Linked DNA regions of Oryctolagus cuniculus. The protein of the gene in region 3 interacts with the protein of the main gene of each other region in a pairwise test. Links are inferred from orthologs where the notes say so. Each region holds a gene or a part of one and is shown on either strand. Other genes may lie near its edges. The genes, in order: TRIM63, ASB9 and CKM.

Region 1 (5,487 bases), on a different chromosome or scaffold from region 3:
GCTCGAGCTTCCTCGCCTGGGGAAGGGGGTTTAATGGTTCCTACCCTGCTAGGATGATAAAGCAATCATACAAAGTATGAGGCACAGGGCCTGGCACATAGTAATTGCTCAGCAAAAGCTAGCCGTCGGCGTTTCAGGGGCGAGGACCAAGGCCACCTCCTCTTTCTGCGGTGATTCCTCCTCTTCTCCGGTTTCCTCCCTGTCCTCAGGCTGGCCCCCTGCCCTGGCTACTCAGGGTCTCATGACCCCTTTCCTGAGCTCCCGCACGTTCCTCCTGGATGTCCCATGGCCTCTTAGGCGTAGCCAAGGCCCTGCGGCCGCTGCTCTCAACCTTCTGCTCCAGCGCCTTGGACCAGGCGACCCCAAGGTCCTTGCATGAGGCTCTGCCTTAAAAACCTCCCTTGGGCCTGCTCAAAGGACTTCTACTGCCAAGGTGAAAGATGCCCTTGCGAACGTGGAGGAAGGGGCCGGCGTCGACGCAAAGCAGGTGAAGCTGCCTTCTGCAGTGCTGGCACTGGTTTGAGTCCCAGCTGCTCCATTTCTGGTCCAGCTCCCTGTCAATGTGCCTGGGAAAAGCAGTGGAGGATGGCCCAGTGCTTGGGGCCCTGCACACATATGGAAGATGTGGATGAAACTCCCAGCTCCTGGCTTTGGTCTGGTCCAGCTTTGAATGTTGCACGCATTTTGGGAATGATCCAGCAGATGGAAGATCCGCTCGCTCTCTTTCTCTCTTTCTCTCTCTCTCCAACTCTGCCTTTCAAATAAATAAGTAAATATTGGGGCTGGAGCTGTGGTGTAGCAGGTAAAGCCGCCACCTGCAGTGCAGTGCCGGCATCCCATATGGGTGCCGGTTCAAGTCCTGGCTGCTCCACTTCCTTTTTTTTTACTTGACAGATAGACAGTGAGAGAGCGAGACAGAGAGAAAGGTCTTCCTTCCGTTGGTTCACCCCCAAAATGGCTGCCACAGCCAGAGCTGCCCCAATCCAAAGCCAGGAGCCAGGTGCTTCTTCCTGGTTTCCCACGCGGGTGCAGGTGCCCAAGCACTTGGGCCATCCTCCACTGCCTTCCCGGGCCACAGCAGAGAGCTGGACTGGAAGAGGAGCAACCAGGACTAGAACCCGGCGCCCATGTGGGATGCCGGCGCCACAGGCGGAGGATTAACCAAGTGAGCCATGGCACCGGGCTGCTCCACTTCCTATCCAGCTCACTGCTATGACCTGGGAAAGCAGTAGAAGATGGCCCAAGTCCTTGGGACCCTGCACCCACGTGGGAGACCGGAAGGAAGCTCCTGGCTCCTGGCTTCAGATTGGCACAGCTCCGGCTGTTGCAGCCAACTGGGGAGTGAACCAGCAGATGGAAGACCTCTCTCTATGACTCTGCCTCTCTGTAACTCTGTCTTTCAAATAAAAGAAATAAATCTTTAAAAATAATAAGTAAAGCTTTTTTAAAGTGGAGTAAAATTGAAAATGTGTGCCGAGACCCAGGGGAGCCTTCCGGCCAGTGCTGAGCGTCCAGGCGGGGTTTCCATAAGAGCTGCTCCCCTCTGCTCCTTCCTGGGCTGTGCACATCCCAGGGCAGGAGACCGCTCCTCTGCCTGTCACCTTGGTCCCTGCTGCACTGAAGAATGTCTGGTGTGTGGATAAGGTTCCTGGCTTTGCTGCTAGGAAGTGTAAAGTCTTCTCTTTGCTGGGACTCATTTCAAACTCTATAGAATGAGGGGACTGGACTCAAGGGAGCCCTTTCAGCGTTAAGGGGAATAAGTGGCCAAGAGAGGGAGACAGACACCCCGGGTGGGGCCTCCCCTGTCTACATGAGACGCTGGGCTCAGGTGCGAGGCTCAGAGAGGGGCGGCCCTGTCCCTTATCTTGAGAGCTGCCCAGGACTCCAGGGGAGTGGCAGGCACTGATTTACGTTAATGAGGGGGACAGTGACTATGAACCCCTGAATCCCCGAGGTCCCCTCCCTGGATCCCATCCCTGGCCCAGCAGCCTAGCTAGGGGGACCCAGTTTCTGGAGGGAACTCTGGGTACCCATGCCCCCGCCAGGCTGCCTCCGAACAGGTTGTTCTTGTTTTCGACCCCCTATGCCCGGGGAACAGCGATTGCTCAGGCTTGCGTGTGATCTGAGAGGGCCGCGTCTCCCAGGCTTGGAAGAAACTCAAGCCCCACCGCGCACTTGGCATCGGAATGCTCAGCTGGTCCCCTCCCGGGCTCATGTGACCGAGACCCAGCTATAAATACCAGAGGGGCCCCAGTCCCGGACAGAATTCAGACGCGGGGAGAAGAAGGCCGAGAGATTCCGAGCGGGTGTTTGTGACAAAGGCACAGGTCTCCGGAGCCAGCAGGTGGAGGAGGCAGCCACCCCAACGTTATGGATTACAAGTCGGGCCTGATCCAGGATGGCAGCCCCATGGAGAACCTGGAGAAGCAGCTGATCTGTCCCATCTGCCTGGAGATGTTCACCAAGCCGGTGGTCATCCTGCCGTGTCAGCACAACCTCTGCCGCAAGTGTGCCAACGACATCTTCCAGGTCGGTGCTGGCCATGGCCGCTCCTGGGTCCCTGGGCGGCAACTCGGCGGCCCTTTGCTCTTAGCCGAAGGCCCTGCAATGCGAGCTGATTCTTTCCGCTTCCGAGTGATCCCCTGTGGAGGCCTCTGGCCTGGGCTGGGGCTGGGGCGGTGGCTCTGGCGGCCCCGCTGCCTCTCCATGACGCATGTGTCCCTCCCAGCCTGTCCACAGCTCCCCCGCCTGCCCTGGGCCCGCTGAGGACTGAGAGTCAAATGCCTCAAGTGATAAGGGGGAGGCAGGCAGAGAGGGGAGAGAAACCAGACCCCTGGGGCCCGGCCAGCGCCACAGTGGCAGGGGGCCCGGAGCTGTGGGAGGAGGGGGACGGGCAGGCACGAGGCCTAGAGGGCCCCCCCACCGAGGCTGTCCTCTTCAAGGTGGGAGCCGGAGGGGCTCTAGGGAGGTCTGGCAGGCAGGCAGGACCCAGCGGTCCCCAGGAGCACCGTCTCCAATGCCACTTCACTGCTTCACCTTTGCCCTAATTATAGCACCCATTTCTTGAGTGGGCAAACTGAGGTTTTGAGAGAGAAAGTCACTGCCCAGGGTCAGGCAGAGACGGAAGCCAGGCCTGCTGACTGCTCGGGGGCTCTCCGGGCAGGGGTCTGTTCTCACCTCAAGAGCGGGAGAGACTCAAGAGGGAAGGGGCTGAGGAGGGAGCACTGGCCTCACCTCTACCTTGGCCACCGCAGGCCGCAAATCCTTACTGGACCAACCGGAGCGGCACGGTGTCCATGTCCGGCGGCCGTTTCCGCTGCCCGTCCTGCCGCCACGAGGTGGTCATGGACCGGCACGGCGTGTACGGGCTGCAGAGGAACCTGCTGGTGGAGAACATCATTGACATCTACAAGCAAGAGTGCTCCAGGTCAGCTCGCCGGCCCCGAGACCCTGCCCCCAGAACCCGCCACTAGGGACCCCTCGGGCTGCACTGCCGGGGGAGATGGGAAGCGAGAGGGAGGGACAGGCCTGGGACCTGTGAGGTGGCCGGCTGGGCAGGGAGAGTGCCCAGTGACAACATAGCCAGGAGCTGCAGCGATGGCTACATTGTCTCCCTTGCCAGCCCTGGGGAGGCTCTGCCTGCCTCGCAGCCACCCTGTAGACCGGGAGGGACTTCTGTAATCCCCAAGAAGCCAAGTCAGTGACTCAAGGCTTCCCAGCCGAGAAGGGGGCGAGCTGGGGCTGAGCCTGGCCCATCGGGTGCTGAGTCTCCCTGTTAATAAGAGAGGCAGCATCTGTGAGTGGTGGGGCCGGCTGGAGACACAGCCGCTGCCGGGAGAGCGGTACAAATGAGGACATCCTGACACCACTCCCAGCTGCTGACCTCACAGCCTTTTTGGTCTAAAACCTCCACCAAGCACGTGGCAGCAGGCAGTGGCCTGCCCAGAGGTGCTGCCAACCATGCCCGCGGAGGAAGAGCCCTGGCCTGGGGCCTGTGATGGCCGCTCTGCCCCGTTGTTAATGCATTAAGTGGCCGAAGCGTGGCTGTGACTGTGGGCTAGGACACCGATGGGCAATGTGACACAGTCAAGTGCTCCCTGAGCACACGCTGTGCTCAGGCACTGTCCGGAGTACTTCCTGTCTCAGTCACTCTGTGAGGCATTCGCAGCTCCATTTTCCTATAAGGAAACGGAGGCTCAGAGAGGGTCGGAGATTTTCCCAAGGCCACACAGCTAGAAGAGAGAAGGTGTGACTGACTCCATGGTGAATGTGCTTTTTTCGTTTTAAAAATAATGTATTTATTTGAGAGAGAGAGAGAGAACACATTCCCATCTGCTGGTTCATGCGTGAAATGCCCAGCGGGGGCTGAGTTGGAGCTGAATCTGGGAGCCCAGAACTTAATCTGGGTCTCCTACGTGGGTGGCAGGAGCCCAATTACTTGAGTCATCAGCACAGCTTCCCGGGTCTGCATCGTAGGAGCCCGCGTCAGGAGCTGGAGCCGAGGATCCACCTGAGAACTCAGCTAGGGGGAGCAGGTGTCCCGAATGCCGGGCTCAGTGCCTGTGCCTGGTGCATATTCCTCACCGCTGGTCTAGATTGTGGCTACAGGATGCACACGGGCTGTGGGTCGCTATAAAAGTAGTCCAATCTGTATTGCATGGGAATACCAGCCCCCTCGGGGAGCACCTCCGCTGAGCGCGCTGTGTCGGAGCCCCTGAGGCCTCTCCAAGGGGAGGAGCGTCACAGCCGCTGCGCTTTCCTGGGGCTCTGCTCTGTGCTGGGCACTTCCTGTTCCCGCAGAGAGCTTCGGCAATTCTTCCTCCTGTCGGAGGAAACCAAACCCAGAGGAGCCAAGCAACTTGCTCCAACGGTCTGGACGGAAGCCAGAGGGAAGGATGGGCACCCAAGGGTCAGGGGTCACAGCTTGTCTCTGTGCACCACTGCTGGCCCCAGGGCTCCTCTCCCAGGGCCGGGAGACCCCTACCAGCATGCAGGCCCTGGGCGGCAAGATGCAAGAAGACAAGTCTGGCCAGGGGCTTCTTTAAGAACTGCGGGGGGAGGACAGAAAGCTGGGCTGTGGGCAGTCGTGCAGGCTGTTGGAGGTGAGCCCTTGACACTGAGAGGGAGTTGTCTCCATCCGACACTTGGGAATCAGAAGTGGCGTGGATACGGCGCTGGCTCTAAATGAGTATGTAGGCCAGTTGAGGAGGTAAGATCTGGACTCAAAAAAAAAAAAAAAAATCAAACGTACATGCCATCACTGTGGCTCAGAGGCTTGGGCCACCGCTTACAGTGCCAGCATACCATATCACAGCTCTGTCCGAATCCTGGCTGCTTTGTTTCCAATCCAGCTCCCAGCTCATGAGCCTGGGAAGACAGCGGAAGATGGCCCACGTACTTGGGCCCCTGCACCCACATGGGAGACCCAGAAGCTCCTGGCTCTTGGCTTAGGCCTGGTCCAGACCTAGCTGTTGCATACCATTTGGG
Region 2 (5,491 bases), on a different chromosome or scaffold from region 3:
CGTCTGATAACCCATGGGTAAGGTGTACCTGGGACATCTAACTGAGGGCTGAGGAGAGGCTCCACTCGTGAGAATGCTGCACATGGCAAGACATGGCTGTGGCCTTCCCACCTGCTGCAAGCAATCATTTTCTTTTCGTACCTAACCTGGGCCAAGTTCACTGAATAGCCAGACACGTGCAACGATGCTCACAAGGGCTGATTAGACATTGGTATAATTGCTCTCTCTCTCTCACGGGTCTTGCTAAGCCACCCCATTTCTCCATAATCACAGTCCACATGGTCCAGTTTTATCCTCCTAGTCACTAGTGTATAGATTCCCTCCCAGGTAAGAGGGTAACCACCTGGACATCATTATTGTAATACTGGCAGTCACATTTGAATGTGGAAAGAAAAAAAATCTCAGCTTGAAATTTAATTAAAAGAAAATAAAGAAGCTATACTACGGAGATTTTCCTGGGATAAAACGGTAATAGTTTCCAGCTTCCCCAGTGTGCTCCTCTGTTGAACTCCTTCTTACCTAGTCTATGTTGGAAGCAAATTTCTCAGTGTCTGCCAAACACAGGTTTATCGTTCTTCAACTCTTTCCTTTTGGAGTGGTGAGAAAACTGCACGGCCTTCTGCATTAATTCTGCAAAGATGGAGGGCAATTTGGCAGTGTTTATCCCAGTTTCAAATGAGCCACCTCTTTTTTTTTTTTTAACACCGAAGTTTGTGTTCAGAGAATGAATGATAGACTCACCTGCAGTTGTCAGAAAGAATACAGAGAAATCGCCCATATTGTTTGCTGGTTTTCCCCAGTGGTACCTTTTTGCAGAAGTATAGCACAATATCATAACTGGGACACCGACATTCATACAATCTACCGGTCTTAGGCACTCATTGGTTTGTGTGTCTACAGTTCTCTATGCTATATCACGTGTGTATGAGTATACTCTTGACTCAGCATTTCCACTCCTAGGAATCTCCCAAAAATTGCATATGTGCACAAAGCCATATGTACAAAAACATGGTCTTCAGTACTTTTGTAAGTACTAAAAGAAATGGTAACACAGTGCTTCCATTATTAGTGGAATAATCAAATACTTTGGCATATTATGGAATGCTAGGCAGCACTAACTAAAGAAACAGCAAAGCTATATGCACTGAAATGGAAAGCTCTCCCAGAGCAAATCAGTGTAAAAAGCATAGAACCAAAGGTTACTGTAATTACATTTCATGGAAAATAGAGGGGGATAAGTGTGCATACGCATGTGCACACAAATGAATTTAAAATAAGAAAGCCTCTTCCAATCCTTAACGGTGGTTACCAAATGTTCCAACTGAGAACCCGTGAATTGAAAACCTTTGGCATTAAAATAACTCTGTGACCACTGCACAGCCAGACTGCGTTTGAGACTAACTCAGAGCCTTACCCCGCTGGCGTGAAACTCCTCCTCTGTCTGAAGAAGAGGAGCAATGGGAGTGGAGGGGGCCGTCCGCACGAAGCAGCACCCAGGGGTATGGGGAAACTGGGTTTATCTGAAAAGACAGATACAGAAAAAAAAATACTTTGTACCAGCAAGCTGATGACTACTTAACAACAACAACACAAAACAGTTTGAAAAAATAACAATAGAAAGAGAGGAGGTTTTTTCCACATCTCCTGCCACCCAGCAGCCCATGAATGCAATTGCAAGGCTTCATTATTTACTCAGAAGTTAATACCAAATATGTGGAGGAAGGGTGCAGGAGGACATCCAGTGAACTCCCTGCAGGTAACAGGAAGAAGACGAACGCCCGGTTCTGTAACATATAGACACATTTTCCCATAAGAAACTCCCAGCAAAATTGAAACCACATGTGCAGATGGCCAGGGTGTGCAGTGTGTGTTACTGTGCAAGCAGTCCAGCAGGGCTGCTGCAAAACCAGCTTTCTCAGCTCTTGGTGCTGGGCTTGTCTCAACAACAAGAAACCCCCACGTAACAAACGGATCCCGGGAGGGGGGTCAAGGTTGCAGCCTGAGAGCTGTTTCCTTCACACCCACCCAGCTCCCCTCGCTTTCCCCAAGTTACAAAGTGAGTTTCCTTCCTGATAAACTCCAAGGCTTTCTCAACGATTGGTCTCAGTATTGGAAAGGACGTGACATCAGCAAATTTGCAGACTTGGGGCTGGGGGGCTGCTGTGGGCTCTGGCTGGCGGCCAGCCGGCGAGGTGGAGTGTGTGCGTGCGTGGGCGTGCGTGCCTGTCTGCCTGACCACAGGTAGCGCTCCGAGTGCCATGCCGGAGAGCCTGAGCAGAACGTGTGCTGTTCGGCCAGCCACAGAACTGGGAGTTCCCGGGAACAGGGGGAACATGGAATTTGGACTTTACTGAGCAACTGGAGCGTGGACCTTGCTGGCCCGGGAAAGCACCATGGATGGCGAACAAGGGGGCAGGATCGGCAGCAAGCCCCCGGGGCTCGAAGGCTCTTCTGACACTAGGCTGCTTGCAAACCCATTGATGGGGGGTGAGTTGCTGGGGCCGGGAACCGGAGTGTGGGAGGTTGGCTGCTGTGCTTAGGAGAGAGGAAAGGAAAGGGCCGGGCGGTTTCAGTCGCTCTGTCCGAGGTGGGTCTGTGGGGAAGTGACTGGACAGACGGCTCTGGCCAGCTGCTACTGTCCCTTACACTGGTGTTCAAACGTGTACACCTCTCTACCTCTCTGTGCAGAGACACCTCTCTACCTCTCTGTGCAGAGCCCGTGGAGGACACGGATTTCGTTGTCACAGGTTTTTCTCCAGTAAACACTTCAGCTCCAGGGAATCATTCCTTCTGAGTCAAATGCAATTAGTTGCAGGTTTAAATTTACTTATAAATAGGAAAATTTTAAAGCCAAAACCTTCTTTGTGTGAAAAAGTCTTTCTTATTTGGTATTTAGGTGGGACTAGATTTATAAATGATGTTCAAATGCTGATTGAATCATTTTAAAAGGCTTTTTTTTTAAAGCCTTTGGAGAGATGTCTTAGAGGTATGATTCCCACCTGCTGTCGTTGTTAATGGATGGAGGCCCACACATAAAGACACTGTCACACTCATATGAGCATCCAGCAGGTGCCTGTTGGCTGGCTGGATTCCAAGAAATGGGTCTAGGCATTGAACAAGGCATGCTTATATTAAACACCTTGGTAGACAGCCCATAACATTTGTTGATCAGAGGGATAATAAAAAAGTTAGACCTTATTAATCTCCTACTGTACAGGTACTCAAAGGGAAAAAACCTGGAAGAAATAAAATAAGAAATGCCTTCCCTTTGACTGAGCCAACAAACTGGCTCATTTGTTCATTATTGAGCACAAATTTGGAAAGAAGAGCAGCATCAAAACTCATTTTTAAAAAAGAATTTGGTTAATATATTTTAAAAGCAGCAAACCAATTATTATGGAAAGAGTCAGTAATTTGGTTGATTCCTGCATGATTATTTTACTGTTAAGTATTTTACTTATTTTTTTTCCACATAAGAGGCACTAGCCACTTTTCACTGGGGTTTCTAAAGGTCCCGAGCCAACCCTGATTGGACGGGCTGGGTGGGTGATGTTGGATGGGTGTTACCCTCAAAAGGACGGCGTTTAGAAAGTGAGCACGTTGTTTGAGCTACCATGTAGAGTCTTAGGGAGTGCGGACAAGTCTGGAGGCATGCAGCTGGCTAGTGAAGCTTTAAAGGGCTTCAGGAGGCAGGGAATTGGGAGCTGTGCATTCTGGTGTGGACTTCGCAATAATGAGAGCTGTAAGTAAATCTGGTAGCCATGGGATACATTGTAATGGGGTTTTAGGAGAACCCACTGGTTCTCAAACTCCCCTGTGCCAAAGCATCACCTGGAAGGTTTGGTAAAATGCAGGCAATACAGCATCTGATGATGGATAAAGAAGGGGCGAGGCCTGAACTGTGCAGCCACAGCAAGCTCCCAGGGGCTGTTCGTGGCACTGGTTGGGGCCCACGTGTAAAGAACCACTGCACTAGTTGCAGTATGGAGCTTCCATTTGGATTAAACTTTGGAAATAACAGAGAAAGAGTGAGAATCTCTTGGGAAAGAGAAATGAGACTCTTGCTGCTTCATTAAATATTAGGGTTAAAGGAGGGAAGGCAGCCGAAATGGTAACGTTTGCAAGTCTAAATTAGCGTCAGCTAAGAGAGCTCCATAAGCAGATCGGGGAGACGTGTGTGAACGGGGAGTTTTGTTTCACACCTAGACGTGCCCGGGGTGGCTGCTCACCAGCCTGGTGCTGTGCTGAGGCTTGGGAGCGAGCACAGGTTGCAAGTTGCGAAACTCGGGCAAGAGAAACTGTCTGATGGCCAGGAGCCGAGAGCTAAGGACAGAGCTCCGGAACAGGCCTCCAGTCAAGGAAACAGGATCAGGAGTCGGACAGGGAAGCTGGAAGAAACTCCAGATGTTGTAATTCCACAGCGACTAAGGGAAGAGAAGCTTTGGAAGAAGTGCAAATCCCAAGGATAGAGGCCCAGGCACGTCTGCTGTCTCACCTTCTCACCGACTGGCAACTCCTAGTCATCTTCCACACCTAGTGCAGCCACTGCCCCCTCGAAGCTCTCCCGGACTTTTCTCCTCCCCATGCAAGTGGAGTCATTCGCTTCCTGCTTCGCAGGAGTCCTGCCTCTTGGGCAAAACCTCATTTATAGTTGGTTGTAATTGTTTAGACACCTGAAGTCTTGACCTTCATGAAGGATGGAATGTGGAGCACTCAGAATTCAGTTTCCAAGCGGCTGGGCGAGAAAGCCGGCTCAAGTGAAGCATGTCCCCTGGCACGAGGCCAGCTGCGAGGGCACACGGGGCCCAGGGGTGGTTCGTCGTAGGCAGCTTTGCCCTTCCCACCTCCACCTGCAGGGTGTCCTCCTCTGGAGAGTGGGAGGAAAGGTTATGAAGATGGGCAACTGGCTCTTTGTAGAGACTTAATACTTGACCCTCCTGTCCCAGGTGCAGGGAAAATATGTCTTTTTTCCTGCTAAAGGTACTGTATTAATGAGTTGAATTGTATCCTCCCTGTAGTTCTGAATGTGACCTTTATTTAGACAACAGAGTTCTTGCCCATGTGATTAGTTAAAACGAGGTTGTAACTGCAGGGAGATGGGTCCTTAATCTCACATGACTGGTGTCCTTCTGAGACAAGGAGAGGAGACCCACAGGGGAATGCTATGTGATGACAGATGCAGATATTGGTGTGAAGCTTCTACAAGCCAAGGAGCACCAAGAATCAATGGCCATTGCCAGAAGCTCCAATGGATGAAGAAGGTCATCCCTAGAGCCTTTGGGAGAGCCTGGTGCTCTGGCACTTTGCTTGCAGACTTCCATCAGCCCTCTGGCCTCTAGAACTGCGAGACGATAGCTTTCTGTTGTTGGAAGCCACCCAGTTTATGGCAACCCTAGGAAAGAAATTCATACCTACTCTTAGAATCTTTGGAAAATGCATTGAAGTTATCCTTTAAACTAGGCGCCCATAATTCCACGAGTAGGAAGCCACT
Region 3 (5,740 bases):
CAGTCTCAGGGCCTTTGCACTTGCTGCTCTCCCTGCCTGGGAGGCACCCCAAGATAATTTCCCGTCAGTCAGCAAAGTCTCCACACTGCCTGTCTGGGGTCACCCTCTGCCACACCCCCAAGGTCATGCTTCTCGGCACTTTGGGGCGCTCCTGCTCGTGGGGAGGTTGGTGTGCGCCCTCACGTCTCGCACCAGACAGAGCTCCAGGAGAGCCCTGCTCATCCCGGGAGCCCTGAGGCCCCACACTGGGCCAGAACGACTGGGAATGAGGGCTGGGTGGGTGCATGGATGGGGGTCGGTGTTGGGCCCGCAGACCTCGGACATGGGCGGTACTGACAGCTGTCACTCAGCAAGCTGGTACCAGGGCCCCCGTGTTTGGAGGGCTGGGCCCCACGGCCGGGGAGGCTCTCACCTTCCACGGAGAGCTTCTCCACGGCCCGGCGCTCGCCACGGGAGCAGTGCGGGGGCAGCGTGTAGCCCTTGATGCTGCGGCCGGTGCGCACGCGGCTGCTGAGCACGTAGTGGGGGTCCAAGTCGTCCCCACCCTGGGCCGCGGGCGGGGAGGGCGGAGGTCAGGCCGGGCAGGGCCTCCGCCCCCCCCCCAGAGAGCCCAGGCCTCCCCCACTTCCTCGACCGCCCCTGCTTCCGCTCCTGCCTCTTTCTCCCTCTTTGTCTCCCCATTTTGTTTCTGTCCATCTCCCCTCCCCATCTCTCCCCCCTCCTTCCATCTCTCTCTCTCTCTCTCTTTCTCTTTTCCTTTTTAAATGTTTACATATTTATTTTCATCAACTTGAAAGGCAGAGAGACAGAGAGAGAGACAGAGAGAGAGAGAGGAAGAGAGAGATCTTCCATCTGCTGGCTCACTCCTCTAATTGTCTGCAACAGCCAGGGCTGGGCCAGGCCAAAGCCAGGAGTCTGGAGCTCCATCCGGGTCTCCCCTGTGGGTGGCTTGGGTCCGAGGACTCGTGCCATCAGCTGCTGCGTTTCCAGATGCATTAGCAGGGAACTGGACCAGAAGTGGAGCAGCCGGGACTCGAACCAGGCACTCTGGGGCGGGACGTGGGCCTCACAGGTGGCAGAGTCAGCTGCTCTGCAGCAGTGCCGCCCCTCCCCTTTCTATACCGGGCCTTGCGTCTTCCCCCAGCCCCACTCCGCACACCCTCGCACCTCTGTCTTATCCGCCCCTCCCCGGTGTCCATCGCCCCAGATGGGCCCTTCTCTCTCTCCCTCCTCTGCCCCTCCCCACCTCCCCTCCCCCGGGGTCACCAACTTTGAGGTTCTCGTGGTTGAGGTCGGTCTTGTGCTTGTCGGTGGGTTTGAAGCCCCCGTGGCGGTCCTGGATGATGGGGTCGAACAGGTCCTTGAACACCGTGTAGGACTCCTCGTCACCGGCCACGCAGCCCACGGTCATGATGAAAGGGTGCCCTGGGGGCCGGGGGGCGGGGCAAGGGCCGGAGCTCAGCGAGTCGCGCATGCGCAGACGGGGCGAGGGGGCAGGACTGGGGTGGGGGCCGGCGCCTGGCAGCCCCTGAGTCATGGGATCTTAGCCTCTGTGTGTTCAGACTCAGCTGTGGGCTCCCAGCGGTCAAGGTCATGAGGAAGACCGCTTTCCTGCCCAGAGAGAGCCCACTTCCGCCCGCCCTCCAGGGGAGTCCTCCGAGAGGGAGCTGCGTCCCCACCGCATCCGAGGGTGCGCTTGGTGCCAGGCGCTGCGGGAAGCCCTGGGCGCAGGGGAAACTGAGGGAGGTTCAGATGGCGCCCCAGGGGGCCTCTCGGGGCGACTGCGCACGGGCGTCGCGTGGCTGTGGTTTGTCCCAAGCCCTCCAGCTGGATTCCCTTACTCGGTTTTGACAAACAGCTCCGCAGAGGCGGCTCCCATTCTGCAGGTGAGAAGAGCGAGCCCCCCCCGGCCGGTTACCTGGGTTGTCCACGCCTGTCTGGATGACATCGTCCAGGGTGAAGCCGGAGGGCGTCTCCTTGTCGCGCAGCTTCTTGTAGAGGTCGGGGGTCAGCACCTTGGCCATGTGGTTGTTGTGTTTGCTCAAGTCCGGGTACTCCTCCTCGGACTTGTAGTTCAGCTTGTACTTGTTGTGGGTGTTGCCGAACGGCATGGTGGCGGCGTCGGGGGGCTGCGGGGCCGGTGGGGAGAGCTGAGCGAGGCTCCAGGCAGCGTGGCTCGGAGCCAGGTGCAGGAGGGTCCCAACTCGGCCACGCCCCCGCTGCTGAGCCGGCCAGGAGCAGTCTCCCCGCTGGAGACTTGGTTTCTCCAACTGGAGAATGGGGGGTGGGGGAGGGAAACCCCTCCCCCAAAGCTGGACCTATAGCAGGGCATGGAATAGGTGCAGGCTCTGTGCTCTTCCAAGCCCCGCTCAGCTACTTGCCACTTAACACCCGGCTGTGTGGCCTTGGGCCGGCGGCTGGACCCCTCTGGGCCTCCTTTGACTCATCTGGCAGATGGGATCACAGCCGGACTCACTTGGAGGGAGTGACACTAGGGGTATAGCCCTCAGCACCCCCCGTCTATTGTCTGGTGCTCATCCAGGTGGAGAGGAGGGGAGGGACGCCCGGGCCCCACCCCTGCTCCTGCCAGACCCCCGACTTGCAGGGCTCAGTGGGAAGAAAAGCCATGAGCTTGCTGTGCGGCCCCAGGCTGGGCCCCAGGCCTCTCTGGACCTCCGTCTCCTGGGGCGCCCAGCTCGGGCCTGGCAGCGGCGGCGGCTGCCATCACCCACACTTTTATTCACCACACTGGGCGAGGCAGGGGCCCCCCAGTGGGATGGAGGGAGGGGAATGGGGCTGGAGTGAGATGGGGGGGCACGGGGGCCCCCGGAGACCTTCAGGGCTGTGGGCCAGGGTGGTTATTTTTAGAATCTGGCTGACTGCTCCCCCCCAACACCCCCAGCGGCTGCCCCGCCTCCCCCCTCGCTCCTGGGCTCAGCTTGCGCCAAGTCAGCAGGCCCGAGACAGGTGGGCCCAGGGGCTGGGACGCTGCACAGACGGCCTAGGGCCCAAGGACAGCCTGGGCCTCAGCCCAGACCCCCGCCCCCACCCCCCACCCAGAGGACGTTCGGTCATCCCTGCTGGGCTGCCCCAGGAGAGGGCACTGAGGCAGACCACGCCCCCAGGTGCAAGCCACGCCCACAATCCCTGAGCTCCCCAGCTCTGCTGGGGCACGGAGTCACACCTGCAAATGTAGAGACGCCCCCCCCCCCCGCCACAGGAGAGCAGGGACCCATGGTCACAGCCACGAAGAGCCCAGGGCACCTCCTAGGGCCTGCGGTGCTGGCTCGGTGACAAACTCAGGGGCACAGGCCTGGCCCAGCCCCTGCAGGCTGACAGCTGCTGAAGCCCCCACCCCTGCTCTCACCCCCGGGATGCTCCCCCGTGACCCTCAGCATGCCCCCCAGTCACAGGGCCCACGGGCGGCCAGGCAGGCTCACAGGGAAGGCACAGCCAGGCGCACAAGGCCCAGCCAGCCAGCCGCCCCCCACCCAGGCCCCTGCCTCTCACTCCCCCCCCCCCCACTGAGGCCCCGCAGGTGGTACCTGGCTGGGCTGTGCTGAGCGGGGCTACGTGTGTCCTGCAGGCGACACTGAGGCAGATCCAGGGCCCGCGGCCCCGGCTTTATGTAGGGGACCCTGCTGTGCCACTGGCTGGGCGGGGCTGGCCCCAGGGAGGGGGCCTGGAGGGCAGCCCAGCCTCTCCCCCCCCTATGCCCGGGCACAGTGCCCACCTGGACGCGGGCGTGCCTTGTGCCCAGCCCCATGCCCTTGTATGGGCCGCCCCAGGCCGATGTGCAGAGCAAGTGCTGAGTCGGGCTGGCGGGGGACAGCTGGCCCCCCGCCGGGAGCACGGGACAGTGGCTGGGGGTGTCCCGGCACGTACAGCTCGCCGTCCCCTGGCCCCTAGGCCTGCTGCTGTTACCAGCCCCCCGCGGGTGCCCCCTGCCTCTGCACCTGCCGTGGGCTGCACACCCTAGGGAGCACCAGCGCCAGGGACACCCAGCAGTGAGCCCAGGACAACCCCCCCGGGGGGGCAGTGAGCCCCTCAGCGGGGGGTGGGGGGCCTGCTGGGAGGGGCCGTCCAGGAAGGGAGCTATTTTTAGAGCGGTCTCTGCTGTCGGCAGTCCCAGCACCCAAGGCTGCGGGTAGGGGGGCTCAGGGCAGGTGCTGGCGGGGGGCCCACGTGTCCGGGCTAATTATAGCCGGCAGCTCGGGTGTCCTGGGGCCTTGCCTCCTTACAAGGGCACCCGAGGCCCCCAGGGAAGGGGACTGGGTGCCCGACTCGCGAGGACGTGGGCACCCCCGGCCCTCAGCCGGGGACTCTGGGAGCTGCCTCCTCTGCCTGGTGGGTGCCAGGGCTGTGGGCTGAGCGGGGCACCTCCCTCAGGGAGCTCCCAGGATTGCCCAGGATCAGAGGACATCCCTGTCTCCCGGTGCCTTTCTCCTCCATCTCCCCCATTCCTCTCCAGCCAGGTGGGGGCTGGCTCAGGGAAAAGTGGGGCTCTCCACCTCGGCCGGACAACCTTTCCCCGTCCCTTCCCCGTGGGGGCAGGCTTCTTGGTTCCAGAAACTGAGGCCCGTGGGGCATGGGAGGGGGCAGGACAGGGGGGAGCAAAGGCAGGCAGGCCCCTGAGACCTGGGGGAGAGATGGGAGCCAGTGCTGGGGGGAGCGGGGGCACCGGCAGGTGCAAAGGCCCTGGGGTGGGAGTGGCTGGATATGGGGGAGAAGCAGAGGTCAGGAAGGAGCTGGGGGTGCAGACGGGGACAGGAGTGGACCCGCGGGGCCCCGGGGGACTGCGAGAGGAGTGTCAGTGTCACCGTGCCTTGGGTGGGAGCCACTGAGGGCTGTGCGCCAGGGAGAGGTGGGTCAGCTGGGTCACTGCAGCGGGCGGCACAGCCAAGCCCTGGGCTCCTCTATCCCCTTGGGGGGCGCTTGGCCGCACAGAGGCAGAAGCCCTTTCTGTGTTCGGGAAGTTTCCTGCCCTTGAGCCCGACTCCTTTGCAGAAGGCAAAGATGCCAGAAACTCCCCTTCCCAGGATCCCTTGCAGCGCCCGTGCGGAGGCCCTGGAGGCGCGCTGGGTTGTTGCCGGGTTGTTCTTCGGCCGGTTCTGTTCGGTCGGCCTCTTCTCACTGCTGTTGCGATGTCTCTGCCTTGTGACCACTGAGATGAGCTGTTGTCTGCAGCTGGCCTCTCTGGACCTCGCGGGGAGCTGTTGTTGAGAGGGAAGAAAGGAGGTGCTGTTGCCCCAGGAAGCCGGAGTCACCCCAGAACGAAGCAGTGGGCGGAGTTACAGAGAGAGCGCTTCCACTCGCTGGCTCACTCCCCAAATGGCTACAAAGGCTAAGACTGGGCCAGGCTCAAGCCGGGAGCCAGGAGTTTCTTAGAGGTCTCCCACGTGGGTGCAGGAGCCCAAGGACCTGGCCCATCTTCCACTGCTTGCCCAGGCCATAGCAGAGAGCTGGATCGGAAGTGGAGCAGCGGGGTCTCGAACCAGCACCCCAGTGAGATGCTAGGGTTGCAGGCGGCAGCTTTGCCGGCTACGCCACAGCGCCGGCCCCTGAATGAAGCAGTCTTACAGTGGACGTGGAGTTGGCCAAGAGCGAGGCAGCTCAGAGCTGAGCTGTGGGCCGTGGAAGGCAGAGGGGACAGCCGGGAGAAGCCCCGGTGCGGGATGCAAGGCACAAAGGGTGAAGGTCCAGGCCGAGATAGAAGCAGCCCGACTGTCCCCTCTGCTGG

Evidence for each region.
Region 1: the proteins of CKM (region 3) and TRIM63 interact in a two-hybrid assay, tested with the Homo sapiens proteins (2 studies listed by BioGRID). The link is inferred for Oryctolagus cuniculus from reciprocal best matches to the Homo sapiens genes CKM and TRIM63.
Region 2: the proteins of CKM (region 3) and ASB9 interact in binary tests that used the Homo sapiens proteins (3 or more experiments, as listed by UniProt). The two-hybrid records come from large-scale screens. The link is inferred for Oryctolagus cuniculus from reciprocal best matches to the Homo sapiens genes CKM and ASB9.

What each region holds. Positions count from the first base shown.
Region 1 is NC_091438.1:145,359,181-145,364,667, forward strand, and holds the start of TRIM63 (E3 ubiquitin-protein ligase TRIM63), read left to right. Parts: upstream 1-2,221; 5' UTR 2,222-2,370; coding exon 2,371-2,529; intron 2,530-3,254; coding exon 3,255-3,427; intron 3,428-5,068; exon of another isoform or gene 5,069-5,487. UniProt on the Homo sapiens protein: E3 ubiquitin ligase. Mediates the ubiquitination and subsequent proteasomal degradation of CKM, GMEB1 and HIBADH.
Region 2 is NC_091453.1:1,414,760-1,420,250, reverse strand, and holds the start of ASB9 (ankyrin repeat and SOCS box protein 9), read left to right. Parts: upstream 1-2,058; 5' UTR 2,059-2,393; coding exon 2,394-2,487; intron 2,488-5,491. UniProt on the Homo sapiens protein: Substrate-recognition component of a cullin-5-RING E3 ubiquitin-protein ligase complex (ECS complex, also named CRL5 complex), which mediates the ubiquitination and subsequent proteasomal degradation of target proteins.
Region 3 is NC_091449.1:11,497,880-11,503,619, reverse strand, and holds the start of CKM (creatine kinase M-type), read right to left. Parts: upstream 3,578-5,740; 5' UTR 3,546-3,577; intron 2,130-3,545; 5' UTR 2,112-2,129; coding exon 1,919-2,111; intron 1,426-1,918; coding exon 1,271-1,425; intron 546-1,270; coding exon 413-545; intron 1-412. UniProt on the Homo sapiens protein: Reversibly catalyzes the transfer of phosphate between ATP and various phosphogens (e.g. creatine phosphate).